Mus musculus: one gene and its partners. The main gene of each other region encodes a partner of the protein of the gene in region 2 in a complex. Links are inferred from orthologs where the notes say so. Each region holds a gene or a part of one and is shown on either strand. Other genes may lie near its edges.

What was found.
Region 1: the proteins of Etfb (region 2) and Etfa are in contact, whole or in part, in a crystal structure (PDB 2A1U), measured with the Homo sapiens proteins. The link is inferred for Mus musculus from reciprocal best matches to the Homo sapiens genes ETFB and ETFA. Residues at the interface, in NP_001976.1 of Homo sapiens: Ile14, Tyr16, Val18, Ile20, Val22, Val29, Thr31, Phe41, Leu102, Arg106, Lys124, Gln125, Ile127, Asp128, Asp129, Asp130, Cys131, Asn132, Gln133, Gln136, Met137, Ala139, Gly140, Phe141, Asp143, Trp144, Pro145, Gln146, Thr148, Phe149; in NP_000117.1 of Homo sapiens: Glu27, Leu88, Pro89, Glu90, Ser113, Ala114, Phe115, Lys117, Asn118, Pro121, Arg122, Ala124, Ala125, Lys126, Glu128, Val129, Ala130, Pro131, Ile132, Ser133, Arg146, Thr147, Ile148, Tyr149, Ala150, Gly151, Asn152, Ala153, Leu154, Cys155.
Region 3: the proteins of Etfb (region 2) and Acadm are in contact, whole or in part, in a crystal structure (PDB 2A1T), measured with the Homo sapiens proteins. The link is inferred for Mus musculus from reciprocal best matches to the Homo sapiens genes ETFB and ACADM. Residues at the interface, in NP_001976.1 of Homo sapiens: Glu73, Arg76, Thr77, Tyr192, Ala193, Thr194, Leu195, Pro196, Ile198, Met199, Lys202; in NP_000007.1 of Homo sapiens: Glu43, Gln44, Lys46, Glu47, Phe48, Thr51, Lys54, Phe55, Glu58, Glu59, Arg80, Glu83, Leu84, Gly85, Leu86, Leu98, Leu100, Ile108.

The regions. Positions count from the first base shown.
Region 1 is NC_000075.6:55,496,410-55,505,967, forward strand, and holds part of Etfa (electron transfer flavoprotein subunit alpha, mitochondrial), read right to left. Parts: intron 3,756-9,558; coding exon 3,609-3,755; intron 1-3,608. UniProt on the Homo sapiens protein: Heterodimeric electron transfer flavoprotein that accepts electrons from several mitochondrial dehydrogenases, including acyl-CoA dehydrogenases, glutaryl-CoA and sarcosine dehydrogenase.
Region 2 is NC_000073.6:43,440,342-43,450,392, forward strand, and holds the start of Etfb (electron transfer flavoprotein subunit beta), read left to right. Parts: upstream 1-3,770; 5' UTR 3,771-3,806; coding exon 3,807-3,863; intron 3,864-10,051. Other genes in the region: Cldnd2 (claudin domain-containing protein 2), read left to right, coding at 1,305-1,473, 1,825-1,965, 2,510-2,600, 2,876-3,077. UniProt on the Homo sapiens protein: Heterodimeric electron transfer flavoprotein that accepts electrons from several mitochondrial dehydrogenases, including acyl-CoA dehydrogenases, glutaryl-CoA and sarcosine dehydrogenase.
Region 3 is NC_000069.6:153,939,357-153,949,419, forward strand, and holds the start of Acadm (medium-chain specific acyl-CoA dehydrogenase, mitochondrial precursor), read right to left. Parts: upstream 5,288-10,063; 5' UTR 5,070-5,287; coding exon 5,040-5,069; intron 2,615-5,039; coding exon 2,527-2,614; intron 1-2,526. UniProt on the Homo sapiens protein: Medium-chain specific acyl-CoA dehydrogenase is one of the acyl-CoA dehydrogenases that catalyze the first step of mitochondrial fatty acid beta-oxidation, an aerobic process breaking down fatty acids into acetyl-CoA and allowing the production of energy from fats.

The DNA of each region.
Region 1 (9,558 bases), on a different chromosome or scaffold from region 2:
CTCTATTAAGGCTCTCTCCTCTCTGATGAGATGTTAAGTTGACACAAAACTATTTAGTAAAGTCAATAAAGATAATTAAAAAAAAATAAAAACATTGCTATGTTGTTTTTTTGTTTGTTTGTTTTGGTCTTATTTTGGTACTTTCTCCCCAGAAGAGTCTTGTTACCAGCCTTAGCTGACCTAGTATTCACTACGTAGCCCAGGTTGGCCTTGATTTTGCAACGGTCTTCTACCCTCAGTCTCCAGAATACTATGACTACAAATATTCCACCGCACTAGGTTTTTATTTTTAAATTATTCTTTTTAAAATAACATTTTAAAAAATTAGTTATGTCTATGGGGAGGGCATATATGTACACAGAGTACAGATGCCCAAGGAAGTCAGAGGTGCTAGGTTCCCTAGAATTAACATTACTGGCAGATGAAAGCTGTCAACATGGGTGATGGGCATCAAACCTGGGCCCTCAGCAAGAGCAGTCTGCATGCTTAAACAATGAGCTATCTCCCCAGCCCTTTCGAAAAAAATTCTTAAAGAAAATTACAAGCTAACTGATTTTACTATGAACTGACATAATCAGTCACACTATAAAAATTCTACCTTAAAAAACAAAAGGAGTTCAAGGTCAGCCTGGTCTACAGAGTGAGTTCCAGGACAGCCAGGGCTATACAGAGAAACCCTGTCTCGAAAAACAAACAAACAAACAAACAAACAAACAAACAAACAAACAAACAAAAGAACTGGGCTGAAGAAACAACTGAGCAGTTAAGAGCACTTGCTGCTCTCAAAGGTGACCTAGGTTCAGGTCCTAGCATCTACGTGGCAGCTCAGAACTATCTGTAACTTGAGTTCCAAGGGTTCTGATAGCCTTTTCTGGCCCCCAGGGCATTGCATGCTTGATTCCTATATGAGTATGCTGGCAAAACTCATATACATGAAATAAAAATAAATAAAATCTTTTAAGTTATTTATTTATTTTACGTATGTGAGTACACTGTCACTGTCTTCAGACACACCAGAAGAGGGCATCAGATCCCATTACAAATTGTGAGCCACCATGTGGTTGCTGGGAATTGAACTCAGGACCTCTGGAAAAGCAGTCAGTGCTCTTAACTGCTGAGCCATTTCTCCAGCCCCAATAAAATCTTTTTTAATACTAATTGATAAACCAAAATCAATTTTTTTATTAATTTACTCAAATTTAGCTGAAAACTATGTTTTTTCATTGATGCCAATTTAAGTGCATTATTTTAGGAGGAGAAAAGTAAAAACTGGATGTGGTACCCAGTACTTGGGATGCTGAGGTAGCAGAATCACAGATTTTAAGCCAGTGTGGGATAGAGTGACATCCACTCTCAGAAATACAAAGGGAAAAAAGAAGGAAGAGGAAAGGAGAACTAAAATGAGATTTCTCTCTGTCTCTGTCTGTCTGTCTGTCTGTCTCTCTCTCTCTCTATATATATACACACACACACACATATATATGCACATATGGGTATTATATGTATATCCAAGCCAATAAGACACATTAGACTCAGGATCTGTTAAAAGTGAAGGCAGAACTTCTCTAAAGTTGACTACACTTAATTTAACAATAATTTCTTTTGAGAGTAAGATTAATAATTCCAAGAAATAGAGAGAAATCTTCAATTACAGCCCATTGTCAACACGGAGTTTCTGCCTACACAAACATACTTACCTTCAACAAAGGAAGGTATTTTCTTGTTTAACTTCTCATTTTTTTCCTGTTTAGAATTAAGTACGGATTCTGAGAAACCTTTGACTACTCTGATTTTCTGTTCAAAAGGCAATTAGCATTCTTCCTTTAAAGTAACTTTAATATGAGTGGTTTCTGCTTATCAGTCCCATCAGCTATTACTGTCTTCCATTTGCTAATTCACTGATGACTGGGCACAAGAAGCTGAGCCTCCTAACCTCTTCCATGGACTAAAAGGTTCCACAGTATTCACTGAAAGGAGGACACAGGAAGACTCTGCTGGGCTGAGTGCTGAGCAGCACATCACACTGTCTTACACAGAGGTACACCAGTATTTAGCATCTCTGGTTTCAAGAAATTTCCAATTAAGAAACCCACTTAATTCCAAAGTTGCTACACATCAGCCTGGATACAAAGAGAACAGAATTTCCCATTAGAACTTTTTTTTAACTGTCAAAATTTCAGTAATACATAGAATAATCACTTTCAGTTTATGATTAACAGCTGAAAAAAACAATACAAAACTAAAATCTGTCTACATTATTAGCAGACACCTTTCTTAAAAATAAGAACAAGAAATACACAAGACTGCAAATGATTAAATATCAAGTACTTTAAAGAAATTTTAAAGTAGTTAAAATCTCAGCAAAACAAATAGATCTAGTATCTGTTTATATTTTAAAACTGAGTAGACAAAAAACAAAGTTGGCTTAACTCTATTATCAGACATTGTGGTAAACAGTAACTGTATAAGATTCAATAAGCAGCTGGGTGGTGGTGGTGTGCACCTTTAATCCCAGCACTTGAGAGGCAGAGGCAGGAGATCTCTGAGTTTAAAGAAAGTATGGTCTACAGAGCAAGTTCCAGGACAGTCAGCCAGGGCTACACAGAGAACCCTGTCTCAAAAACAAAAACAAAAAAAACCTAAGAAAAAGGTTCAATAACCATCAAGAGGAGTGAGATAAAGAAACCTACGTAACTCAAAACCAGCTGAACAGTCCTAAAAACACCACTTTTATGAAAGGAATTAGAAGTGACACTAACATTCTAACCTGCATTACCATGTGTGCTACATCAACAATTTAATAAAATATGTAGCCTGCTAAAAAGAAACATTCTCTCTCAACACTTACTCTTCATGAAGGCCAAACCCCCTGTCACACACTCAGCAACTCTGATATAGTGGAGGGGAACTGGCATCTAAAGCTCTGTAGTCTTTTTTTTGGTTTTTCGAGACAGGGTATCTCTGTGTAGCCCTGGCTGTCCTGGAACTCACTTTGTAGACCAGGCTGTCCTGGAACTCAGAAATCCGCCTGCCTCTGCCTCCCCAGTGCTGGGATTAAAGGCATGCGCCACCACACCCTGCTAAGCTCTGTAGTCTTAATAGGCTCTTGTCTGCACAGCAGAATAAAGTTTCCCAAGAGTTACTTTCCAAAGTTGTTATTTAACAACCACAACAAAATCAACATTTACCACCAGCCATAATTTGAGAAGAATGAGAAGAAGGTTTGAGTTCTTCTACCAATTAAATATTAGCATCTCTGATACTTTGCCCAGATTGACTACTTTCTGGAATTAGAAGAAATTAACAAGTGTACAGTACAGAAAGAATCTGCTATTAACTCTAAGAGGACTCAGATGCCATTCTACTTGGTACCTGATGGCACAGGATGGTGCCAGCAGAACAAATCAGGCATTCCACCTCATTTTGAAAGACAAAATGCTTCATGAGAAAAACCTTTTGGTTCTTTTTTCATACACAATAATATCTGTGACACTGGCCATTTAATGAGGACTAGAGCCCAGTTAGAGTCAGCATAATAACTGTTGCCATCTTTCACTGCCTCTTGATGGAGATTATATTTGCTATGGCTGACCTTAAAAAGCTCTCACCTTGTCACACTTGGTTCCAGCTACTAAGCAGGACACTTCACCTCCAAGACGTCCAGCTGCAGTGATAGTATTTAGAGTAATGGGTGCTAGGGAATCATTTGCATGCTCAGCTATTACCAAGGTACTCTGAAAACGGAGCAATGAGGCCTAAAAGAAAAGGAGAAGAACATTAATGTAGTCTTTCAGGATAACTATTATGCATGTGGGCTTTAAAGAAAACATTCTGACGTGCAATGCTCAGTTTTATTAAGTGCATTAATAAAATATTCCCTTGATAGCATAAATTAAGCTATCTACCTTTATCATATCAGATCCTTACCTAACAAAAATCAAGAAGTCTTATGTCAACTTGACACAAATTAGAGTTATCTGAAAGAAGGGACCTGAACTGAGAAAAGGCTCCCATAAGATCTGGCTATAAGGCATTTTCTTATTTAGTGATTAATGGGGAGGGTCCAGCCCATTTTGAGTGGTTCCATCCCTGGGCTGGTGGTCCTGGGTTCTACAAGAAAGCAGGCTGAGCAAGTCAGTAAACAGCACCCCTCTATCACATCTTGCCTCCAGGTTGTTGACCTGCTTGAGTCCCTGTCCTGACTTCCTTCGATGATGAAAACCAATGTGGAAGTGTAAGCCAAATAAATGCTTTCCTTCCCAAGTTGCTTTTTGGTCATGGTATTTCACTGTAGCAATAGATACGGTAAGACAATTTTTTTTCTTTCTGTCCTACGTCCTTCTCTCCTTCCTTTACTTTTTAGTGTTTTTCTAGAAAGGGTTTCTTCGTACAGCCCTGGCTAGCCTGGAACACTCTGTAGACCAGGCAGGCCTCAAATTCAGTAACCAACCTCCCTCAGTCTCCTGAGTGCTGCAATCAAAGGCATGGGACACCACTGCCTGGCTTAAAATGCAAATTTGTTTTTGCTTTTGTTTTTCGAGACAGGGTTTCTCTGTGTAGCCCTGGCTGTCCTGGAACTCACTTTGTAGACCAGGCTGGCCTCGAACTCAGAAATCCGCCTGCCTTTGCCTCCTGAGTGCTGGGATCATCTCATTAGATTCTGAGAAAGCATTTGACAAAATTCAACACTCCTTCATGGTAAAAGTCTTGGAAAGATCAGGAATTCAAGGCCCATACCTAAACAAAGTAAAAGCAATATACAGCAAACCAGTAGCCAACATCAAACTGAATGGAGAACAATCCTCCTAAAATCAGGGACTACACAAGGCTGCCCACTCTCTCCCTACCTATTCAGTATAGTACTGGAAATCCTAGTCAGAGCAATTAGAAAACAAAAGGAGGTCGAAGGGATACAAATTGGAAAGGAAGAAGTCAAAATATCACTATTTGCAGATGATATGATAGTATACTTAAGTGACCCCAAAAATTCCACCAGAGGACTCTACAGCTGATAAACAACTTCAGTAAAGTGGCTGGATATAAAATTAACTTAAACAAATCAGTAGTCTTCCTTACTCAAAGGATAAATGGCTGAGAAAAAATTGGGGGAAAGACACCTTCACAATAGTCACAAATAATATAAAATACCTTGGTGTGACTCTAACCAAGCAAGTGATCTGTATGACTAGAACTTCAATTATCTGAAGAAAGAGATCAAAGACCTCAGAAGATGGAAAGATCTCCCATGCTTGTAGACTGGCAAGATTAATGGCCATCTTGCCAAAAGCAATCTAAGATGCAATCCCCATCAAAATTCCAGCTCAATTCTTCATAGAGTTAGAAAGAGCAATTTGCAAATTTATTTGGAATAACAAAAAGTTCAGGGTATCAAAAACTATTCTCAACAATAAAAGAACCTGTGGTGGAATCACCATCCCTGACCTCAAGCTGTACTACAAAGCAATTGTGATAAAACAAATAAACCTGCATGGTACTGGTACAGCAACAGGCAAGTAGATCAAGGGAATAGAATTGAAGACCCAGAGATGAACCCACACACCTATAGTCACTTGATCTTTGACTAAGGAGCGAAAACCATCCAGTGGAAAAAGGCATTTTCAACAAATGGTGCTGGCTAAACTGGAGGTCAGCATGTAGAATGCAAATTGATCCATTCTTTTTTTTTTTTTTTTTTTGTTCTTTCAAGACAGGGTTTCTCTGTATAGCCCTGGCTATCCTGGAACTCACTTTGTAGACCAGGCTGGTCTCGAACTCAGAAATCTGCCTACCTCTGCCTCCTGAGTACTGGGATTAAAGGCTTGTGCCACCACCATCGATCCATTCTTATATCCTTGTACAAGGTTCAAGTCCAAGTGGATCAAGGATCTCCACATAAAACCAGATACACTGAAACTAATAGAAGAGAAAGTGGGGAAGAGCCTGGAACACATGGGCAGCACAGGGGAAATTTTCCTGAACAGAATACCACTGGCTTATGATCTAAGATCAAGAATCAATGAGACCTCATAAAATTGCTTCTGTAAGGTAAAAGACACTGTCAATAGGAAAAAACAGCAACCAACAGATTGGGAAAAGATCTTTACCTATACTACATCTTATAGAGGGCTAATATGCAATATATACAAAGAACTCAAGAAGTTGAACTCCAGAGAATCAAATAATCCTATTTAAAAATGGGGTACAGAGCTAAACAAAGAATTTCAACCGAGGAATACTGAATGGCTGAGAAGCACCTAAAGAAATGTTCAATATCCTTAGTCATCAAGGAAATGCAAATCAAAACAACCCTGAGATTTCCACCTTACACTAGTCAAAATAGCTAAGATCAAAAACTCAGGTGACAGCAAATGCTGGCCAGGATGTGGAGAAAGAAGAACACTCCTCCATTGTTGGTGGGATTGCAAGCTGGTACAACCACTCTGAAAATCAGTCTGGCAGTTCCTTAGAAAAGTGGACATAGTACTACCTGGGAACCCAGCTATACCACTCCTGGGCATAGGATGTTCCAACATGTAATAAGGACACATGCTCCACTATGTTCATAGCAGCCTTATTTATAATAGCCAGAAGCTGGAAAGAACCCAAATGTCCTTCAACAGAGGAATGGATACAGAAAATGTGGTACATTTGCACAATGGAGTACTACTCAGCTATTAAAAACAATTAATTCATGAAAGTCTTAGGCAAATAGATGGAACTGGAAAATATCATCCTGAGTGAGGTAACCCAGTCACAAAAGAACACACATGGTATGCACTCACTGATAAGAGGATATTAGCCCCAAAGCTGGGAATACCCAAGATACAATTCACAGACCACATGAAGCAAAGTGTGGATGCTTTGGTCCTTCTTAGAAGGAGGAGAAATACTCATGGGAGCAAATATGGAGACAAAGTTTGGGACAGAGACTGAAGGAAAGGCCATCCAGAGACTGCCTTACTTGGGGATCCATCCCATATAGTCACCAAACGCAGACACTACTGTGGATGCCAAGAAGTGCATGTTGACAAGAGCCTGATATAGCTGTCTCATGAAAGCCTGACAGATACAGAGGCAAATGCTTGCAGCCAACCATTGGACTAAGTGCAGGGTCCCCAATGGAGGAGTTATAGAAAGGACTGAAGGAGCTGAAGGGGTTTACAACCCCAAAGGAAGAACAAGTTCAACTAACTAGACCTCCCCCCCCCCAACTCCCAGGGACTACCACCAACCAAAGAATACACATGGAGGGACCCATGGCTCCACCTGCATATGTAGTAGAGGATGGCCTTGTAGGGCATCAGTGGGAGAAGAATCCCTTGATCCTGTGAAAGCTCGATGCCCCAGTGTTGGGGAATGTGAAAGCGGGGAGGCCGGGTCTGGGTGGGTGGCTTGGGGAACATCCTCATAGAAGCAGGGGAGGGAAGATAGGATAGGGGGTTTCTAGGGGTGTGTGAGACCAGGAAAGGAGATAACATCTAAAATGTAAATAAAGAAAATATCCAATAAAAAATATTAAAAAAAAAAAGGTTGGAGATGGTGAAGGCACCTGCCCTATGCCTCAAGTCCTAAGTTCCACCCCAGACTCATGGTGGAAAGAGAGCACTGATTCCACAAGTTGTCTTCTGACCTCCATGTGTGCACTGTGGCATGTGCATGCACCTTCAACTAAAAGATGTAATTTTAAAAAGTTTTAAGGACACCAAGCAGCAATTTTGCTGGTGTTTCAACTGTTTGAATATGCTTTAAAATTAAAAGGGGGTGAGCTGAACTCATATCTAGCTCTAACTAGCCAGAATATCAAACCACCACCAAAACATAGCTCATGGTTACCCAGGATATTTTCAAAAAAACCAAGAAAGAAAAAAATAATGAACAAGAACTATCCCCACGCTCAAAGATTTCGTGGGAAGTAAGATTTGTTCGTGTATAACCAATCGTAAGATAGTTTTTCAAATGAAGAGAGGCAAACAGTGAAAGGTACGGATCATGGAGTAAAATCAGTAGAGGAAAGCAAGTAAGCTTAGGGGTCAACGTGACAAGATGAGAAATGGCAGCAGAGATTTGAGGAAAGAAGAAATATTCTATCTGATCTCAGGATTGCATGAGAAATGGAGAAAAAAGAAGTTAGATCAAACATCACAGACTCCACTCAACAAAACTGTTCACTTCTACAAAAGGAGTGAAGAGAGAGCTGCACATCTTTGATTGTTTGCTTCGGTTGTTACAGAAGCCTTCTTTCTCAACTGTGATTCTGCAGTCATCAATACCACGGCAAAAGTATTGCCCTCCCTTGCCCCTTCAGTCAGCAGGAGGCTGGATCATAGACTTACACATGGTTTTGGCTACAGTGCAGACCACAGACATTCACATGGTCCTTAGCATCAGCAGATGCTACTGACCTCAGCATGGTCTCCTGAGGTAGTGTAAAGCACGGACGTCAGCTCCGTCCTACGCCACTGCTCAGGCCCTGGACACCAATCACAGCCCTTCTAGGCAGCACAGGCCAAGGACATCAATGTGACTTCAGGTGGCAGCATAGGCATCAATATTGCCCTTGCCTGGCATCAGAGTACACACCTTTAATCCCAGCACTCAGGAAGCAGAGGGACTCTATTAGTTTGAGGTCGGCCTGGCCTACAGAATGAGTTCCAGGACAGCTGAGATTATTACACAGAAAAATAAAAAGTCTCAAAAAAAACATCTACATGAACTTCCAGCTTTAAAGCAGCTTAGGGCAGCAGAAAATGGATACCAAAGTGGCCTCCACAGAGGCCTTTTAAGGAGGTCCAATCCAGAAAATAAACCATCCTTCATCTTGGACATCCTGTTACTGCTCAGAGCCAAGCCAATCATGCAGCTGGGCAGCAAGTTCCAGGGCTGAGTTGGAATGCCAGCTCCAGGTTGCTGCACACCACCCTGTCAGCCCTAGTCATCTCCCACCCAGCCACGGCAACCTTCTCACATGGCTGTTATCATGACTCTAGTTCTGCCACTCTAGCACTCTCACTCCTGCACTCCATTCCTCTATCTTTCCTACCTCTCCATCAAATATCTATTTGTTGTAGTGACTCTACAGACTACAGTGTGCCACATAGCCTTTTTTTCCCCAGACAGCTTTGCATACAAATATTCACTGCAAGGAGTTGTTGGTCTGGTTCATGGTTTTTAGTTTCTGAAGCACCATAAATATTGGTCCATTGCTGTGACTCCTCTCAGATATCCTGATGTTGCCTAAAGTCATGGTGATTTTGCAGCCAAGTAGGGCTTTCTGGGGCAGATTCTGTGTGAGGTCCTGGCTGCTGCACACCTCTGTGCCCTCAATGTCTGCCATCCTAGGCTTTGCCAGGCTCAACTTTTGTGTTTATAGCCTGTGGGCAGCACTGCTGCCCTGTGCCTTTTATCTCTCAGCAGGTCAAATAGCACAGGCCACAGCTACAGTGGCTCCATGAGGGAAGCCAGCCTGTAGGCCTAGAGCCAGCCCCATTCAGCAACGACCTGTTTTTGTGTTTACAGTCTGCTGGCTGAGACAGAACAATACAGGGTATAGACTCATCA
Region 2 (10,051 bases):
CTGGGCTACATGGTGAGTTCTAGGCCAGCTGAGGGCTACACAGTAAGACTCTGACTGGAAGCCAAACAGAGCAGAACACAACCAAAGTTAGGAATGGTGGTGTGAGCCTATAATCCCGGGACCAGGAGATAGAGGCAGAAGAATCAGAAGTTTAAGGGCGACCTGGACAGCCTCAGATGGTTTGAATGCACAATGGGCATTAAATAACCCTGTTTCAAAACAGCAATCCTGAGGAGTGCAGTGACTCCTGTCTTTGATCCCAGCACTTGGAAGGCAGAGGCAAGCAGATCTTTGTGAGGTTGAGGACAGAATGGTCTACAGAGTGAGTTCCAGGAAAGCCACCCACGGCTACATAGTGAGACTTTGCCTCAGAAACAAACAAACTCTAGAACTAGAACAAAGAATCGAGCAAACACACTTCTGGGGGAGGGTATCCATTTAGAAGGCTGCTAGGGGAGAAGATTCTGGAATATCTGCTGCCTCACAGAGAACCATCCTCCCTTCCCCCAACCCCGCGGGCTCTTTGTCGCAGGGGACCAGGCTGTAAGTCATTTTCTGGGGTGTGTATGTGTACGGGTAGGGCTGGGGGGGGCACTGGGGCCAATAGGGCCACCTTCCTCACTGAGGAAGAAAATGCCTGAAAGTTAGTCACTAGGCCTGAGGTGGAGATGGGGATGGAGACACTTGGAGAACTGAGTCTCTTAGAGGGGGGTCATAAGTTCTTAGGCAAGGTAGCTGAGGAAGAGGCCAGTAGCATGGGGTGAGGGGATATTGGGAAATTTTTTGTTTTGTTTGAGAGAGTCTCACATAACCCAGACTGGCTTTGAATTCACTATGTAAGTGAAAAATGACCTTGAACTTCTAATCCTTCTGCCCCTATCTCCCAAGTGCTGGGATGACACGTGTGCCCCACCATGACGGTTTTATATTAAACTAAGGAATGTGCCCAGGGCCGTGTGCATGCTGGGCAATCACTCTACTACTAAGCTACCTTCCTTGCTCCTCTTTTATTTTGTATTGTTTTGCTTGTTTTAATTGAGATAGGCTCTCACACTGTAGTCTGCCTGGCCCAGAACTCATTACATTACTCATGGCCTGCCCTTGGGCTTGTGATGTCTTGCCTCAGCCTCACTGAGGCTAGGATCCCAGGCAAGTGGCTGCTGTTGGGGACGTTGAGGTTGCCAGGCAAGAGTGCTTGGGGGGCGGGGGGTGGGGGGGAGGCCTTCTGGCGTGGAAGAGCTTCCTCCTAACGAGAGGTGTGAGCCAGTCGTACCTGTGATGTCCTTGGCAGCTGCCTCCTTGGCATGGGGGTGAAGAAGAGCCTTCAGACTGGAGGGAATTTACTTAATCTCTTGAGCAGCATCCTCACAGTACTGTCTACTACCACCAACTACTGGACCCGACAGCAAGGGGGGCACAGTGGCCTATGGCAGGAGTGTACCCATGGCAAATGCTCCAACATCCCCTGCCAGAGTGAGACCTTCACCTGCCTCTATATCAGACCACACTCCAGAGCCCACCCCTACCCCTAGCTCCAGATGGGCCTTCCATACCAGGCGCAGACCCAGATGTCCTTTACCCAAAGGCTCTTTCTCCCCAGGCCTGCCTTGCTGTCCTCTCCCTACCAAGTCCTCCGTTCCCATAGGAACACCTGTTTCCAAAATGCAGTCAGATGAGCTCTAGATACTCATGGTGTGTGTGTGTGTGTGTGTGTGTGTGTGTGTGTGTGTGTGTGTGTGTGTAGGGGTGAGGATGGCCAGAAGAGCCCAGGGATGTTCTTTCATGGCACCAAGGCGTCTAGCTGATGCTACCCTGTCTCTCCAGACACCGTGGCAGTGTCCGCAGCGTGCATGGTGTTGGCAGCAACCTTCAGTATTGTAGCTTTGGGGATCGGGATAAGGATTCAGTGTCGAGAGGCAGAGTCACGACGTAGCCAGAATACCATTGTCTTACTTTTCCTCAGCGGTGAGAAGGCAGTCACCCCTATGTAGGAGGGGTGGTGGTGGTGCTGGTGGTGGTGGCAATTCTGAAGGAGTTGGGCCGAGAGAGTTTGACTGCCATGGTTAGAAATGGGAGGGGCCAGGGGGCAGCTGACAGTGGGGATGTTTCTGACTCTTTTCTTCTGCTCTTGGGACTCTTCGCCTCCTGTTGCGTTCTCTTGCCCATCCTCCGTGGGCTTTTGCCTTGTCTCCTTGTATCTCTTTTTGTCCTGTTTGACTGTCCTCTCTTGGAGACCTACTCTACTCTGAAGAGGAGGAAGTGTGGGAGGGGAGATGAGGGAAGCTGGGAGACGTTGAGGGAGAGGAAACTGTGGTCGGGATAGATTGTATAAAGGAAGAATCTATTTTTAATAAAAAAAGAAAAGAGGAGGAGCAAGAAGCCCACGAAGGTGAAGCCAAAGGGAAGCTGGGCGTGGTTTGATAAGTCAGAGACAAGGGCAGTTCTGAGGGGTGGGCTTGGGTGCAGCTTCTACCTGGCCACGCTCACCTGACGGGTGGGCGTGGCCCAGGGTTGCTGCTGCTGATTGCCTTGGCCGTATACACTTCAAAGAATGCCTGGAAGCCAGAAGTCTTCTTCTCCTGGTCCTACTTTTTCGGATGGTTGGCTTTACCCTTCTTGTTTATTGCGGGTAACCAGCACGAGGGGAAGAGGGTGGAGACTACCCCTCTAGAGGACTCCCCTCCCCAGAAACTTCCCAGTCACCTATTCTTCCTAGCAAAGTCCACAATAACTTCCAGTGACTTCCCCGCCCCTGCACTCCAAGACACCCGATGGAAACGCCCTTGGAACCCCCATCCCTAGCTCCCAGGCAGGCCAGATCATCCGCCCCATAGCCCACCTTCCTTCCCCGGGCTCTGTACTCCCTTCCTGCCAGGCTTCTGCTTTCTGCTTGCCGACATGATCTTGCAGAGCACCGAAGCCATCAGCGGATTCCCGGTATGCCTATGAATGCGGCCTGCCTGGGGCAGAATAAAGGAATGGCTTTTAGCCTCGCCCCTGCGTGCTTTTCTGCGGAACGTAGAGACAGAAGCTTGGAGACTACAGAGACACGGATAAAGTGGCTTGTAGAGAGTTAAGGAGGTCAGAAGGAATGTGGGAGGGTAGGAACGGAGACTTGAACCCTGTAACGAGGTGTGTACCCTGGGGATTTGCAGATGCGGAAGCAGGGAGAGGGTGTAGGGACAAGCTGACACCGGGTAGTCCTAGCGGATGTAGGCGTAGAAGAAGGGGCGGGGACGAGCGCACCCGGGGAATGCACGGGGAGAGAATATGGGACTCGGGAGAGTCATAAAGCACGCAGTCGCGGGAGGAGGTGGGGATGAGCGGACACGGGAAAATCACAAGGAAGTAAAGTGTAGACGCAAGGATAAGGAGGGAATCTGCAGAAAGAATGCGGCGGCAAGCAAGTGAAGGAAGGCCTTGGGGGCGTAGGAAAAAAGGCACAGGGTGCGCGTGGGAACACAGACATGGGGGCTTGGAGTGCTGAGAAAGGAGGGATCTAGAAGTGAATTGCAGATCTGGGGACAACAGGAGTTACGAGGAGAGCATTAGGATAAATAAGCCCTCAGCAAACTTCACTCCTAGGAATGCCCTTTCCCCTACTTCTGTGCAACGCCCCCTCCACCCAGCGGTCCGCCGTGGACCCCGCCTCTCCCTGAATTCCGCTTCCTATTGGCTTTTTCTGAGTTGTGCGACGGTTGATTGGTCGGTGTTGCGGCGCGCAGGCGCAGAGACAGATACGGGGCGGAGTGTGTGACTATCTGGATTAGGAGCAACCTGACCCGGCCAGTGACTGCTGCAGGAAGATGGCGGAGCTGCGCGCGCTCGTGGCTGTCAAGAGGGTCATCGACTTCGCTGTGAAGGTGACTTTCCCCACCCCGACTAGGTCCCAGCACCCTGAGACCGCAGCTATGAACGTCCAAGAGCAGGAGCGTGCCCCACATAAGAGAACCTTTCAAAAGTCAATTTCTATTGCCCTTTGACCCGACGTCAGTCATACTTGGAGCAAAAATCAAGGGCTGTGAGATTTTGACAATCAGATCCTTCTGAGGTGACGACCCTTTTCCCCTCTCTCTCAGTCCCTTGATAACTGTGGGCTGGAGGAGTCATGGTCCCTATTTAACACGTGGAGAAACTGAGGCACAAAACTGGCACTTAGCAAGAGAGAATCAGAATAGAGAATTCTATGTGGGGCCTGCGGTTTCATCACTCATTACCTTGCAGGCTGCACTGTCTGCTCTAAATGTACAGCCACATGGAGAGCCATCTGGTTCCATGGGACTCAGAAAGCGCCTCACCCATATAGCCATGGGATGCTTGTCGACAGTTTTTTATTTAGGAAGGGAAGGAGACCTGTGCTTGCTGGAGAAGCAAGTTCAAAGGAGCCAGCTTAACTAAGACTTTGGAGTGTCCGTGAGCAGTCTGAGGGCAGCACCCCTGAGGCCCTGGGTTCTCCTCAGAGAGAAGCTGCTGTAGCCAGCATTGAATCAGACTGGGTTCCCAGGCCAGTCTCTCAATGCTTAGCCTAATCTGTACTGAAAAAAAGATGGTGGCAATTCATGTTTGTCTGTCCCCATTGTCCTGTGATCCCCCTTTGTGTCCTTCAAATTTCCTAGCATAAGGAAGATGCACCCAAGAGACCCTCTGAGATAGGTAAAAACGGGCTATATCATTTAATACCACCATCTACGTACCGCAGTTGAGGAATGAGACAAGAAGGATTCAGGAGACAGACTCAGACTTAATGTCCATGACCCAGACAGCACACATGGAAGTCGGCACAAAGCACCAGCAGATATAATTCCTGTACAGAGATTGATCCCTTTGTACAGCTTCTGTACTCTCAATCGAACAGGGTGGTTGAGGAAACCCAGGCCCGTGGAGGCCCTGTTACTTGCCAGATGCCTGCCCCCTGCCCCCAAGCTGGGTAAGCAGCAAGAATCAGGAGTCTGGGCAAGTCTGACTCTCTGCCTGTTTGCTAGAGAGAAAACGGGTTGGCTTGAGGTGGCTTCTAACAGCCTGTGACAGAGATGGTGCTTCCAGGTTTATTGAGATACATGTGGGTTTGTGGGCAACTCAACCACCATTAATTTGTTTGTTTATTTATTTATTTATTTGGGTGTGTGTGTGTTGATGGGAATTAAGCCCATGACCTTCCAAGTGCTAGGCCAGACCAGCACCACTGAGCTATAGCTCCAGTCTTTTTCCATTTTATTTTTAAAATTATTATTATTATTGACAAGGTATTTTTATTATAATTTAAATTTCTAAAATGATTTATTATTTATTTTTATTTTATGTGCATGGATGTTTTGCTTGCATGCATGCATGCGTGAAGGTGTCCAATACCCTGGGGCTAGTGTTTACAGACAGTTGTGAGCTACGATGTCCATAGCATAGGTCCCCTGGAAGTGCTCTTACCCACTGAGCCATCTCTCCAGTCTCCTCTAATTAGGCCTATGTGTGTGGATATGCACATAGAAGAAGTATAGGTGCCCCTGCAAGCTGGAGTAGAGCATTAGCAAACCCTGAAGCCAGTTATAGGTAATCGTGAGCTGCCTGATGGGTGTGTCAGGAACTGAACCTGGGTCCTTTAAAAGAGCACCAAGTGTTCTTAACTACTGAACTATCTCCCCAGCCCCTAGAGACAGTCTTATTTAGTCCAGGTTGGCCTGGAACTCACTAAGAGGTCGAGGATAGCCTTGAACTCCTGATCCTCCTGCCTCTACATCCTGAGTGATGGGATTACAGCTGTCTACTATCACTCCTGGGTCTCTACATCTTATTCTGAGGCGTTTAATTGCCCAGGCTGGCCTCAGACTCTACATCCTCAACCTCTCAACTGGCTTTGATGCTGGGCCTGCAACCCCGTACCCAGTACCCTCACCACCTTGAATGAACTCTAATCCCAGCGCCTCCTAGTGCAAAGCTTGGCCCATGGTCAGCTAGGCTGTGTTCCAGTATGAACCGAGAGCTTAAAGGTGAATACGGCATGGTGTCCTCTTTTCTTAGGGTCATGGCACTTCCCTCTCACACTGTGCAAGCTTCCTACTTCACATCCAGTGTCTGATGATACCCTCTTTGAGAAAGGCAGTGAGTCAGACCTTGCTACCCTGACTCCTGATACCATCTTTTCATCATCTGGTTACTTGGGCCAGACTTAGGTACCATCTTTTCTCCTAACACTCAATGTCAGAACCCACGGACTGTCAGTTCCCAGCCCCAAACCTTATACAGCACTGTTTCCTTTCTGACCCCAGGCCCTATCCCATTAACCCCTGTCTCACCTACAGCCTAACCCTAGCCTCCCCCTGAGATCTTGGGCTTTCCCCTCCAGCACTTTCTCATCCAGCCTCGGGGACTTCCTACATGCAGGGCTGACCTTGTCTTGGCTCCCCATCACTCTCCATACAAAGTCCCACCTTCTCAGGCTGGCTTTGGGACCCTTGGTTATTTGGTTCAGCCATCTATGGCTGGGGACCTTCTAGGTCTTGGGACCTTCTCCTCCCATTTCTGCTTCCAAACCTCCAGCCTGTACTCTGTCAATTGATTCCTTTGCTTTGGTGTCCTTTCTGCTGTACTCTCTAACATCCTTTTCCTGTCTTGACAATTGTGACCAATTGATTACATCAACATTGAATGAATCTCCTCTCTCCTGAGGTCCCCCCTCCCCCCGAATCTTATCCTGTAAGCCCTTTCCAGAGTATATTGTAGTCTTCTTGTTTACCCCAGTGTGCCACCTGCACCCCCATTTCCAGACTGGCAGCTCCTTGCAGACTGAACCAAGTCTCTCACCCACCTCAGTGTTCCTGGTATCACCCAGTTCCTCATGATGTTTGTTCTCAGATCATTTTTCTGAGGCCTTGTGATCCTTTGCTGAAGATCATGGTGCTCAGAGGCCCTACAGTTCCACGCCCACTCTCCTGCCATGTAACCAGTATCACTTTTTTAATGGGCATTCTGGAATTTGAGATCTTCTGGGGGAAACAGTTGTCTGATGTGTTCACCGTGGAAACAGTCTCAGGCTGCGGGCATCAGAATGGTTCACCCCACTGATAAATGACCCTTAAGATTATTTTTGTTTTATATGTATGAATGTTTGCCTGTAAATGTGTTATGTGCAGTATTTGCATGTATTGCCCTTGGAGGCCAGGGGAGGGCATCTGATCTCCTGGAACTGAAGCTACAGATGGTTGGGAGCAACCACGGGAATGCTGGGAACTGAACCCTGGTGTGTTGCAAGTGCAGCCAGTGCTCTTAACCTCTGAGCCTCATTCTCTTCCTATTGACAGTAGTGCTTATGGTAGTACATACTTTCTGAGGGTTAAGTAATTTTTATTTATTTATTTATTTGAGGTGGGTCATGCACATGCCACAGCACTACTGTGGGAAGTGAGTGGGCTCTCTTCCTCCACTATGTGGGTCTCGGAGATAAAATTCAGGTTATCTGGCTTGGCAGCAAATGCCCTTATCTACTGAACCATCTCAGTGGCTCAAAAGTGTAACCCAGAGTGATTTGGAACCCTTCATCCTTCTACCTATGCTTCGTCAGCATATCCTACTGGCACTTGTCACCACAGTTGGGTTTACGTTAACTAACTCCTTGGAAGAGTGCCTGGTGTGCAGTGAGTGCTGTTAACGATTTGGATGGCCAGTGATGGAGGTCTCTTTAGCAACTTCCTTAAAATATAACTGGTGCTTGCTCAGACAGGGAGAAGGAAAGTATTAATAGGTATTTGGCCACTCAGCGAGGTGCTTGCTTCTGGCCAGGAACACATTTTCCATGAGGGTTAGCCCTCTGAGGTAACCAGGAGAGGCTGGAGGATGATCTGAGGCCCAGGAAGGCTGTGGCCAGCTGTGAAGTGGCCGCCGCACCCCTTTAGTGCTTAAGGAAACACTGGCTCCCACACCTTTCCTTCATTACCCTCGCTTCCCCCCCCCCCCCAACCCCAGCCTCAGGCCCTAGTGTTGCCCCCAGGAGATCTTCTGTATTTGCTCAGTGCTCTGGCCCCACAGTAGCCACGCTGTCACTGGTGTTGCCAGTGTGTGATCTCCCATCAGGCCTTGCTGCTCTACTTGTTCTATGTCCTACAGGTGCCCTTTCCCATCAAGCTCTGTTAAGAGTGTGGCACACACCCAAGTGGAAGTCTGTGCACTGTGTCAAGGGTCCAGGAAACTGCATTTAAAAGCCCTCTCTTAAAAAAAAAATTTGTGCGTGTGTGTGTGTGTGTGTGTGTGTGTGTGTGTGCTTGTGCATGTATAAGCAAGCATACAGGTGTGTGCCCACAGGCCATGAGCCTAGGTCAGAGGACAACATGAAGGAATCAGTCCTCTCCTTTTACCATGTAGATCCTGAGGTACCCCTCAGGCTTGGCAGCAGGCCTCTTTATCCACTGGGCCTCTGGTTTGTCTTTAGTTTGTTTTGTTTTGTTTTGTTTGAGACCAAGTTTTATGTGTCCTAAAGTGGCCTTGAACTAATTCCCCTGGGTCTAACTCCCAAATACTGGGATTATAGGTGTGCACCCCTACACTCTGCTTATAGAAACCCCCTAGTACCATAATCCCATCTATCCAGGAAGCCTCCTCATGAACACTAAGAGGTCAAGCCCATCCTCACCTACAGTGAATCCAAGGCCATACTGAGCATAGTTAGAGCGGGGAGCACATTGCTGGTGATGCAGTTCTGTGAACCAACAGGCTTGGGTTGCATCTCGACGTGGGAATAAGAGATAGTGTATTCTGGCTACACCAGAGAGGCAGGAGCATTGAGATGAGGGAAGCTTTTCTGTAGGCCCACGATGCTATATGGAGGCATTCTTAGCCTTTGGGTTGATGGAAGGAAGCTAGTGGTCTGCTAAGTTAATAGATTCTAAATGTTCTTATCTGTTAATCACAGATGTTAGCTCAGACACAAAGGAGGGCCAAGACTAGACTAGAACTAGCCCAAGATAATTAGTCTCTGGCCCTAAAACCTTACAATCTCTTGACAGTTCTGATAGTCTAATGAAAATCTTCAGACACAGCTTGTTTTCAGGAGTTTTCTTCGAAAACCAAACCCCTCTCTTGGAAATAGCAGCAATAGACACACTTGCTACCTCCATAGAGCTTCCTGCTTCCAAGACAGCCTTAAGTTAGACCCCCGTCCCTCTGTTCCCACCTCCCTGGGTGACGGTGGGTCGGCACCTGACTTCTCTGGGCCTCAATTGCTCCAACATGGCAATAGCAGTGACCAAGTTCCCTGGCTTATAGGACAGACCACACGAATGCAAGCTGTTAAAGCCACTTAGACCTTGGGGCCGAGCTCCTGCATGGGCAGAGCTTATGGAGCTGAATGGAGCGCTGCCCCGTATCTAAAATAGAAGCACGAGAGGCCTGGAGAGGCCACTCAGTGGTGCGGTGCTTGCTGGCATGCTGGACTGAAACCTCAGTTCTGCCACAAAATAAAATAAAATAAAACACCACTGCAGATGTGCCAACCATTGCTTTCTGACTTAATCCCCCAGGCATCTGGAAACATGTGGGTCTCACTAAGCAGGTGAACTAGCAGGTTCCTTGGCCCCTTTGTCCTAGCATAGCCATAGTGATGTCAGCCCTGGGCCTCTCTCCACTCACCAGCCCCAGCCTTTTATGCAGAGGGAGTTTCCTACCTGTCTTGAAGAGGAAATTCATATAATGCTTTTTTTTTTGTCTGCTTTACTGTAGGGTTTGATAGCCCAAGTTGGACTAAACTGTATTATGTAGTCAAAGATGACCTTTAACTTCTGGGATTACAGGCCCATCTCACCATGCTTGATTTACCGGATGCTGGGGGTGGAAGCCAGAGCTTCATGCATGCCCGGGAAAGTGCTCTACCAACTAGGGAACCTCCTTGGCCCTTATTGAATTTTATCTTATTTTATTTATTTATTTATTTATTTATTTATTTATTTATTTATTTATTTTGTTTTTCGAGACAGGGTTTCTCTGTATAGCCCTGGCTGTCCTGGAACTCACTTTGTAGACCAGGCTGGCCTCGAACTCAGAAATCCGCCTGCCTCTGCCTCCCGAGTGC
Region 3 (10,063 bases), on a different chromosome or scaffold from region 2:
CTTACGGAAGAACGTCAACACCATGATTTAAATTTCACTCTTCTTTTAAGCCCCCAATAAGGTTAAGGATATAAGTTCCCACAAATAAAATGGTAAAAGCAATGAGAAGTCTCCCCAAAATATTAACAGACACATTGAACCCTCTGTATTAGCAACAGGCAGTATTAAAACAATGGGTCTACACGAAATAAAACTAGTTATTGTAAAATGAATGAGACGACTCCGCTGCCTGGACCCCTGGGGTAAGTGTGGATGGATAACTGCATTTTTGGAGCTGTACTACCTGGTGTTTCAATGTGGCTGCACTGATATAATAAACGAGGCTGGAAAGTAGCTCACAGGTGGAGGGAGCACTTTCCTGTCTAGCCTCTGTGAGGGAGGCCCTCCATTCCACCCTCCACACACGGCAGGGCAGGGAGGGTTAAAGGTGGCACTGGGTATTTCAGGCAATCAGAGTAAGAGCCAACGCTTAGAAGAACAAGCCAGGTGAGGCAGCATACACCCTTATACCCAGCACTCAGACCACAAAGGCAGGAGGATCTTTGTAGGTTCAAGGCCAGCCTGTTCTACATGGTGAGTTCCAGGCCAGATAGGGATACACAGTAAGATCCTGTCTTTAAAAAAAGAAAAAAATATATATCTACAGTTCTCATTTGTATGGGGCCGAGAGGCAAAGTGTAAAAGACAGATCAAGTCTCATGGTTAAGACACGGAGACTAAGGAATGGCTGAAAGCTGTGTACTTCCGTCAGTCATCCACACAGCCTGATGACACACCAAGCAGTCTTCCTTTAAGGGGACTGGCACACTGGTTTCTATGGTTTCACTACTAAGTACAACAAACAAACAAACAAACAAAGAACCAGGAAGACAAAAGCAGGAGACCAGGCAGAGAGGAGGTGGCTCCTCGAGGCTCGTGGTGATGACAGCAGCAGTCAAGGAGCCTGGGGCTCGGAGCTGCTGGGGTTTTCCAGATCTCTTCACTTCAAAGACTGGAGATAATTCCTTCCGACTTTAGACAGATGAGTCCAAAGTCAGAAGGAAAGGCGTCTACCATATTATTATTTGTTGGCAACCTGCTTTCATCAACTCAGTAATCTTCATGATATCCTATTGCACTTGTTATACCTACTTTATCCATCAGAACCAGTTAGTCCTGGCTGGCCAGGAACTAGCTCTGTAGATCAGCCTGCCCTCGAACTCAAGAGATCCACCTGCCTCGGTCTCAAGTGCTGGGGTCAAAGGTGCGCTCCTCCACCAGTCCTCTCATTACCTGCACTTTAGTCTGAGCTCACAAACTCCCTCCCAAACTCCTCTATCTGCCTCACCCTCTGGCACTCCGAGGCTTGTCAGATTCTCGGAACTGCCCACAAGTATGTAGGAATTCATATGTAAAAAGCTGAGAATAAAGCTGGGCGTGGTGGCGCACACCTTTAATCCCAGCACGTGGATTTCTGAGTTCGAGGCCAGCCTGGTCTACAAAGTGAGTTCCAGGATAGCCAGGGCTATACAGAGAAACCCTGTCTTGAAACCCGCCTCCCCTGCGCCCCCCAAAAAAGCTGAGAATAGATAACAGTCAGAGTAAAGGCTGCTACTCTCACACGCCCACTAATTCAACTTGCTATGCTCATGATATATGAAAAGTCTAATTCCAGTTGTGTGTGTGTGTGTGTGTGTGTGTGTATGTATGTATTTTCACTCAAGTATACTCGAATAAAGTCAATAAACCTAGATGCGTTCAGCCACCAAGGACCCCGTGCTTGTTAACCAGCTCAGCCTTGGAACTTTTCAGAGACCAAGGGAACAGAGAAAATGGTTTCCTAGCTAGAGGCAAGGTAACAACTTCAAGTAAAAACCCTTTAGGGGTGAAGGACACCAAAAACCAGGATTTACTTCACATTTTTAACTCGGAATGTTTCATTTTGTAAAAAGGAAAAGAAGAATCTAGCTTCTTTTCCCTCCAAAACCACATGGCCACCTGGTCTCAGGTCTGAGGACACCGTATAACAGCATCAAACCGCAGCTCAGATAAATCAGGCCAATTTTTTAATTGTTACACCACTGAACCGATGAGTATTTGGAGAAATATTTGTTAAGCCAGCGGGTGTGGTTGCTCACACCTTTAATCTCAGTACTAGGGAGGGAGAGGCAGGCCTGCCTATCTCTCTACTTAGAGCTCCAGCCAGCCAAAGCTATATAGTGAGACTGTCTCCAAAGACAAAGGAAGTATGTTACAGTTAATCTGTAGGTTGAAAACAATTCATATATATTCATTTATTTGGGCTACCATTTGGGAAAGAAGAGAAAGGACACCATAGAGGCCGCCTGAGAACACTTGAGTGTTCGGGAGAGCATACAGAAGAAGGCAACGCAGTTTTCGGGAGAGCATACGGAAGAAGGCAACGCAGTCCAGCAGACGGAAGTTACCGGGAGCCAACTGTGGGCGGTGTCTGCTCCACTCATCAACAGACATCATGTTACAGACACAGCCCAGGCAGACCTTCAAGTCAAAGGGAGGGACACATACCAAAACTAAACCCTAATCCGGGCTCCTGCTTGTGAGCCGCTTTCGAGTGTTGTGTTCGACACTCAAAATGAGAAACACTTCTCAGGACCTGGAAAAAAAATAGATATAATAAGTAAACTTAATAACCTAAATATCAACCAAATGCAAAAACACTGGCTAGGCCATTGAGGTCCTTACTGTATAGACGGGTGACCGGAGCCTGAGCCCTGGAACCCACGTGGTGGGAGAGAGAACTCACTCCCACCACCGTCTTCTGGCTTCCACCTTGCTGCATGTACTGAGAGTTCCACACAGACACATCCGCACACAAATGAGTATTGTCATACAGACCCCAGGGCAAGCACAGCATCTGTATGGCTATGTTTTTATTCAAGAGCTACGTTCTTAAAGTCAGTACTAAATAAATTATAACTCAAACGTCAATTACAAGCTAGAGGGATGCCTAACCATAAAGGAAATGTTATTCAATTTTATAGTTTTTCATTTGTGTGTCTATATATGTGTGGTGAGGGTACAGGATTCTCTGGAGTTGGAGTTACATATAGTTCTGAGCCACCTAACATCAGTGTTGAGAAGCCAACTCAGGCCCTCCGCAAGAGCAGTAAATATTAAATGAGAAAAAAATGTAAATTGCTCAGTCATTCTCATTCTCTCTCTCTCTCCCTCCCTTCCACCCTCCCTCCTTCCGTGTGTGTGTGTGTGTGTGTGTGTGTGTGTTCAAGTGCAGTTTTTGGTGGTGCTGTTTGTTTTGTTTTTGAGACAGGTCTCAATACGTAGCTGTGGCTGATTTGGAAATTTACTTTGTACACAAGGCTGGCCTTGAACTCCCAGAGAGCTCCCTAACTCTACCTTCATAAATGCAGGGTTAAAGGCTTGACCCACCACACCAGGCCCTAATAATTTGGTTTGTGTTCCTGTTAGGACAAGTTCTTTTGAAGTAGTTTAGGATAGCCCCCAAGCCCACCGTGGAATCCAGGCTAGCCTTGGGATCTCAATTCTTCTGCCTCTACTTCCGAGATTAAATGAAGACCACCACTCTACAAAACTGGTCAGCTGCATTTTATACAACTTAAGTGGCGGGCCCATTACTGGGCTCCTTATATACTGACATTAGTCATTCAATTAGAGTAGCTTAATGCACGCACGAGCCTGCTCATTGCTTGTGCAGAGAGGATGTGCAGGTCTGTGTGTGTCTGTGTGTGTGAACACACCTGTCTGTGTATGTGAGTGTGCACGTGTCTGTGTGTAGACAGCTTAGAAACAATAAAAAAAAGAACAGGGTTAAAAACTTAGCATTACAACATAGAGTTTAAGTTTTGCAAACACCCGTCTGGGAACAGTTCCAAACACACAATTTGTATTTACACCTGAAAATCAGGCTCACTAATCCTAGGAGATAACTGGAGATTATTAAAATAAGACAGCCAGGCTTGAAGGCAGAGGTGAAGCTGTGAGCGCCGCACCACCCTGGACTACAAAATGAGACCCAATATAAAGAACGACGACACTCTGAAACTCTAAAGTCAGAAGAGAATTGCGTTTATTATTCCTGGCTCTCTGCCAAAACCAAGGAATTCCAATATGGGAACACTACTAACTTTAGTCTTCAAGCCCGCAACTACAGCATAACTAAGTAACGAATTACTTAGAAATTTGACTCTTGGTTTTATCCCGGTGTGAAAAATAGGATAAAGGAATGCATTTTCTGTTTTGTTATGGTGTTAGACTTTCCCTCTCTTGTCCTTGGAGGCACCAAGAAACCTGTAGTTCTGTTGTCAGAATAAAAAATAACTTTAAAACCCTTCAATTTCTGCTTTCAGAACCTGTTGAGTTGTATAGTAATGGTGTTGTAAATTCTAAAACTACAGCTTTCGGTGCCAGAGGCAACTTCAGTCCAGTTTTAGGTGGTATAAATGGAGGTTTGTACGAACACATCGCTAATATAACAAACTAGTGGTTAAAACAGCTTAGGAGACAAAACTCTGCAGGGTACAACATTTAGAAAGCAAGCTTCATGAAAATTCTTCGGTAGGCTTGTCTCCCTTTTGTTTTTTGGAAGGGTGCCTGTACATCACAAAACCACAGGCGTCCTAACCCTGTTGGTGCGAGCGGAGCGGCCCACTTCCCTTTCCTTCGTGTTGTGCCTGTGTTCTGTGCACACCCAGGATCAACCTGTTTGGATCCTAACACTTGTTCACGCCCGTGGCTACAGAACCACACACTGATGCCTTCCTGGGGTGGGACTACAGTCAAAGTTTTTTGGAAGTGATCGCCTCTGCCACAGCAGGGTTCTGACACCGGGTTCCCTTCAAGAAGCGTGGGTGACTGGAGAGAAGTGGCTGAGCCCATTGACCCAGAATGAAGCAGGTCCGCAGGGCCACGCCTGCAGGGGTCAGAGCCCGGAGATCAGTGAGGGAGGGCGGCAGGCAGCGCGGGGGGACGCCCGCAGGCTCCCGCTTTCCCCCAGGCCGCGTAGGGCCGACCCTCCCGATACCACCCGGTCACCCGCTCACCCTGCAGCCTCTGCGGAACGCCGCTGCCATGATGGCTCCTCGATCTGCTGCCTCCGACCACCTCCGTGCAGCAAGCAAAACGGACGGGGGTCCCGCCCCCAGGAGGCGTGGCTTGGAGGGAGGAGAGGGGCGGGCCTTAGACTCTAGGGGTGCGGAGGCGTGCGGGTCAAAGTCTGCAGACCTCGGGGGCGTGGCCTAGGGAGTCCCTTTACACACAGATGAGGTCTGAGCTCTCAGACTGACTTCGGCTGAGAGACAGAGGGATGACGGGTCCAAGCAGAAGACCTTGGGCGTGGTCTTTGCAGGCTCAAGGGGTGTGGCCTGGGAGGCGGGGCTAGATGAGGGAGGGTCTCGGGTCCGGACCTGGGCCAGAAGAGGGAGTGGCCTGAAGGCCCTCTGCGCATGCGTCCTGCTCCCGACCTTGCCCGAGCCTAAACTTCTGTGCTTGGCCCGGAGAAGAAGACTGTGTGCCCAGTGTCACCGGAGCCCGAAGGTCACGTTCTTTCCAGAGGGCTGCCCGGGAGAGCTGGACCCGAATCTAGGCCAGAGGGCGCAGCCAGACGTTTCTAGCAGTCAGCTGTGACCTTTACTTGGAGAGTCAGATTCTTTATGGCTCCGGTATTCACTGGAACAACAAATTCTGGGCTAGATCGATAGGTAGTCTGTACTCCTTAAAATTTAAATAGGAAATTAGCTGCATGTGTAGCCAGGGCGACTAAGACATCTCAGTGCCAGGAGACTGAGAAGGAAGATCACTGCGAGTTTGAGGCCAGCGAGAGCCAAGTAGCAAAACCTAAACAAACCAAAGCACAATAGTGTTTATTTCATCTATTTTTCTGAACGTTTTCAAGGCTACTTATTATCCACTTATATAGATGTGGGAAGCATCCTTGGGAACCCAAGCTGAGCCTATCCAAAAGCTCCCCAGACAGTGAACATTGGGAGTGAAATTTTGCTCATGAGTTTGTAAACTTTGCTTAAATTCCCATTGTCTTCCAGTTAGACCTTGTGTCTGAGATGGTAGCTGTGGTGTTATAAAGATGAGAGATTATAAAACTTCTTAGTGTTGGGTACCTTAGTTGCCAAAGATTAAGCTGTCAATAGTCCTCTTGCTCTCTGCTTCAAGGAACTGGGAGACAGGAGCTTATTTTTGAGACTAATGAACAATGAAAAATTCTCATCTTCTCTCTGTCTTACCTGTAGCATTGTCAGGCACACCAAAGCCTAGAAAAGGTATGTGGATTCCATTGTGAGATAAATGCTCAGATCTATAAGATTAATCTTTCAACATCAACAATCTTTCCTGAAACATAGTTTCTAATGGTTGTAAGGGAACATTCCAGAAAAAGGTATCTTCCTTTGAATGGCCTGCTAGTCTGATGAGCTGTTTAAACCTCTGATTGTGGAATGTTCCAGGTCCACAAACAACATTATCTGTGCCATTTTTAGCCTCCTTGGCAGCCATTTATTGCCTTCCTTTATGTGTAAGCTAACAGCTTTGTGACCATTAGGTACATTCTTTAGAATATTCAGGCACACACCTACCTCCCACCAACCAGATGGCAAATGTTGTCAGATAGCATTGGAAGCCTATGGCTTTTTTTTTTTTTCTGTAACATTTCTACTAAAGTATTTGAAAAGTACTTTGATGTAAATATGACCTTCTTTGCTCTGTTTCCATTAAGCATCTTGATATTGCTACTTCATTGGAACAGAGACTTTGGGGTAGCCTGGAGAGATGCTTTGAGAGCGTGTCTCTCTGTCTCTGGTACAGTGTGTTTGCTTCACCTCACATTCACTCTCAAACAGGAATAACAAGGGTTAGCGATCTTACAATATTTGACTGACTGTATAGCATTAAGGAGTTGGACCCAAAGTTAAGAGAACAGATGCAAATGAAGGTAGCAGACTTTTATCCTTCTCAGCAATCTTTGAGCCCAAGTGAAGAGTTGGAGCTTTTTTTTGGGGTGGGGGGGAGTGTTGTTGTTGTTTTTTTTGAGACAGGGTTTCTCTGTATAGCCCGGGCTGTCCTGGAACTCACTTTGTAGACCAGGCTGGCCTCGAACTCAGAAATCTGCCTGCCTCTGCCTCCCAAGTGCTGGAATTAAAGGCGTGTGCCACCACCGCCCGGCAAAATTTATTTATTTATTACATGTAAATACTCTGTAGGTGTCTTCAGACACCCCAGAAGAGGGCATCAGATCTCATTACAGATGGTTGTGAGCCACCATATGGTTGCTGGGATTTGAACTCAGGACCTTCGGAAGAGCAGTCAGTGCTCTTAACCGCTGAGCCATCTCTCCAGCACAGAGTTGGAGCTTTTGGGTAAGAGCAATTTCTAAGAATTTGATTAGTCTCAGAACTAATTTGAACATAACACGCTCCAACTCTAAATATTTATATAACACATTGTCATGTGAGTTCTGTTGTCACATCTGTCTGGACAGTTAATCTCTATCATCATTTAATATCCAGACATAGTCAATATGTGCATTTCTCCAGTGACTTTTACATGTAATTTGTTTTCAAACCAGAATTCTATGAATGTTTTCCTACTTCAAATTGGTTTTAACTTCTTCTATTTTAAAATTTAATCAATCTTTAGCCAACAATAGCATCTTTTTAAAAAATATGTATATTTGTATGTCTCTGTGCACATTGAGGCCAAACGATGATAACGGATTCCCTGGAACTGGATATAGGTGATTGCCAGCTGCTGGCTGTGTGTACTGGGAACCAAACTTAGGTCCTCTGCTCTTAACCACTAAGCTGTCTCCTCAGCCCCCCTCTTGTTTTCTTTAAGAGGCCAAGCCAGTTGTCCTGAACAATGGCCCCTGCTGTACATTCATATTACTTCACATGAGCAAGTCTTTAATGTCAGCTTTGTCTCCTGATGATGGTTGGTTGTAGCAGTGAGTTTAGCTACACCACTTTGGCTCCTGGCGGATTTCACAGGATCTTTGGATTATCGAATGAAAGACACACACACACACACACACACACACACACACACACACACACACGTTGATTTTTGACTTGCCACAACTAGCTCAAAGGTTGGGCACTCCTAAACTTTTACCTAGTACCCAACTCCAATTGGGAAAGTGGCCAGAGGCCACTTCTTACAGGGCTGGTTGGTTTAATCTACTGTAGCTCTTCTGTCCCATCCTCCTCTTTTGAGTCATAGTGAGTCTCCATCTTCCTTTCTCCCACTTCCTAGCCCACATAATCTAAACGTTGAGCCCCCCTCTCTCCTCCCAGCCATTGATCTTTATTGATTGATTAAAGACTAATTGGGGGCAAGGACCTTCATCGTTTCGACGGGTAGATCCCTGATTAATTGAAAGCATTGGAACCAATCCCCAAGAGATGATTATTTGATAAAAGTGGTGATGCACAATCCTTCCTATGGCAAAGATTTAGTTTCCCATTGGCTAGTCAGAAGTAGCCACAGAGCTATGTCCCTAGCAAGCAAGCATAATCTTTATGCTCAGTTACTGAAAATTTATATGTCTGCAGGAACTCACAAGGAGAGGATTCCCCTACAGTGTAGGACAGTTAAGAATATAATCATTCAAGATGGCCTGCGGATTCACACCTCTAATCCTAGCATTCAGGAGGTATGGGTGCTAGAGGACCAGTAGTTCCAAGGCCAGGGGTGGGAGGGATGAAGGTTTAGCTACTCAAGGAGATGAGGTAGGAGGTAGAAAGTTCAAGGCCTGGACTACAGAGCAAGTTTAAGACAAGTCTGTGCCACTTGAAAAGATCTGTGGGTCAAAAGTAAAAATTGCAAAAAAGGCTGGGAACACAGCTCACTGGTAGAGTACTTACCTAACATGAATGTAGAGCTAGGTTCAGTTCCCAGAAATACTTAAAGGAAAGAAAGAAAAGAGAGGAAAGGAGGGAGAACTGACTGCATTTACCTCAGGCCTTTGTGGTTTCTTCCAGTCAGCCATGCTAGGGAAAACCCAGGCTCACGTTCTGTAGTGCTGCTGTTTGTCGAGCAAAAGTCACACTTGAAATTGTTGGCTGTACTTTGAGTGCTAGATCTAGCCATTTGGCTCTAATCCCTGGATCTGATTCTTAGTGGAAAAGCAGTGAGTGCTCCTAACTACTGACCCATCTCTCCAGCTCCCTACCCCTTTAAATTTGTTTAACTTTTATTTTATTTGCATTGGTTTAAGGATGTCAGATCCCCTGAAACTGGAGTTACAGACAGTTGTGAGTTGTTATGTAGGTGATGGGAATTGAACCTGGGTCCTCTGGAAGAGCAGTCAGTTCTCCGAGCCACCTCTCCAGTCCCTTTACTCTCTTTTTAAAACTCTTCGTAGGAATAGAAATTTGAAACCATCAATTTCCCCAGGTATGATTAAACTATGAACTCAGAGTTCATGGATCGAGCTGAGTGAAGGAGCTGAGACACTACTGGATGAGAAAACAGAAATCTCAAAAGCCAGAAAACAAACACATTAAGGTAGGTGGGTGCTTCTCGGGTTCTGGGAACTGAAGGAAAGAAGAACGTGCTTAGCAAATGCTACCTTCACATAGCCAGGACCTTCAGGAGTTAAAGACTAGAACACATCTAGAGCTGGAGAGATACAGCTAGACTTTGGAAAGAACTAAGAGACCTGGAGAGCCAGGGATGTCAGACACCTATAGTCCCACCACTCAGGAGGAAAGACGATCAGACGATCAAGATCATGCTCAGTTCATAGCCAATTCGAGGCTAGCTTGGGCTCCACATGACCGACCCTCTTTCCACCTCTCCGCTTCAGAAATGAGTGGCCTATCAAATTAAATTCAGCAAATAAGATGTCCACAGCTAACTAGTATTTACCACAACAATACAGAATTGAACGAATATACCCAAATACATGAATGTATCATGCCTACATTATCAACTTAAGGTACTTTAATATTTGTCCATGGAACATAGATTATGTACATGTGACTCATGAAAGATTACTCAAATCTTAGGAACTAGGAAAACAAATTTCCCTACCAAACCCAAACACTGATAGCAA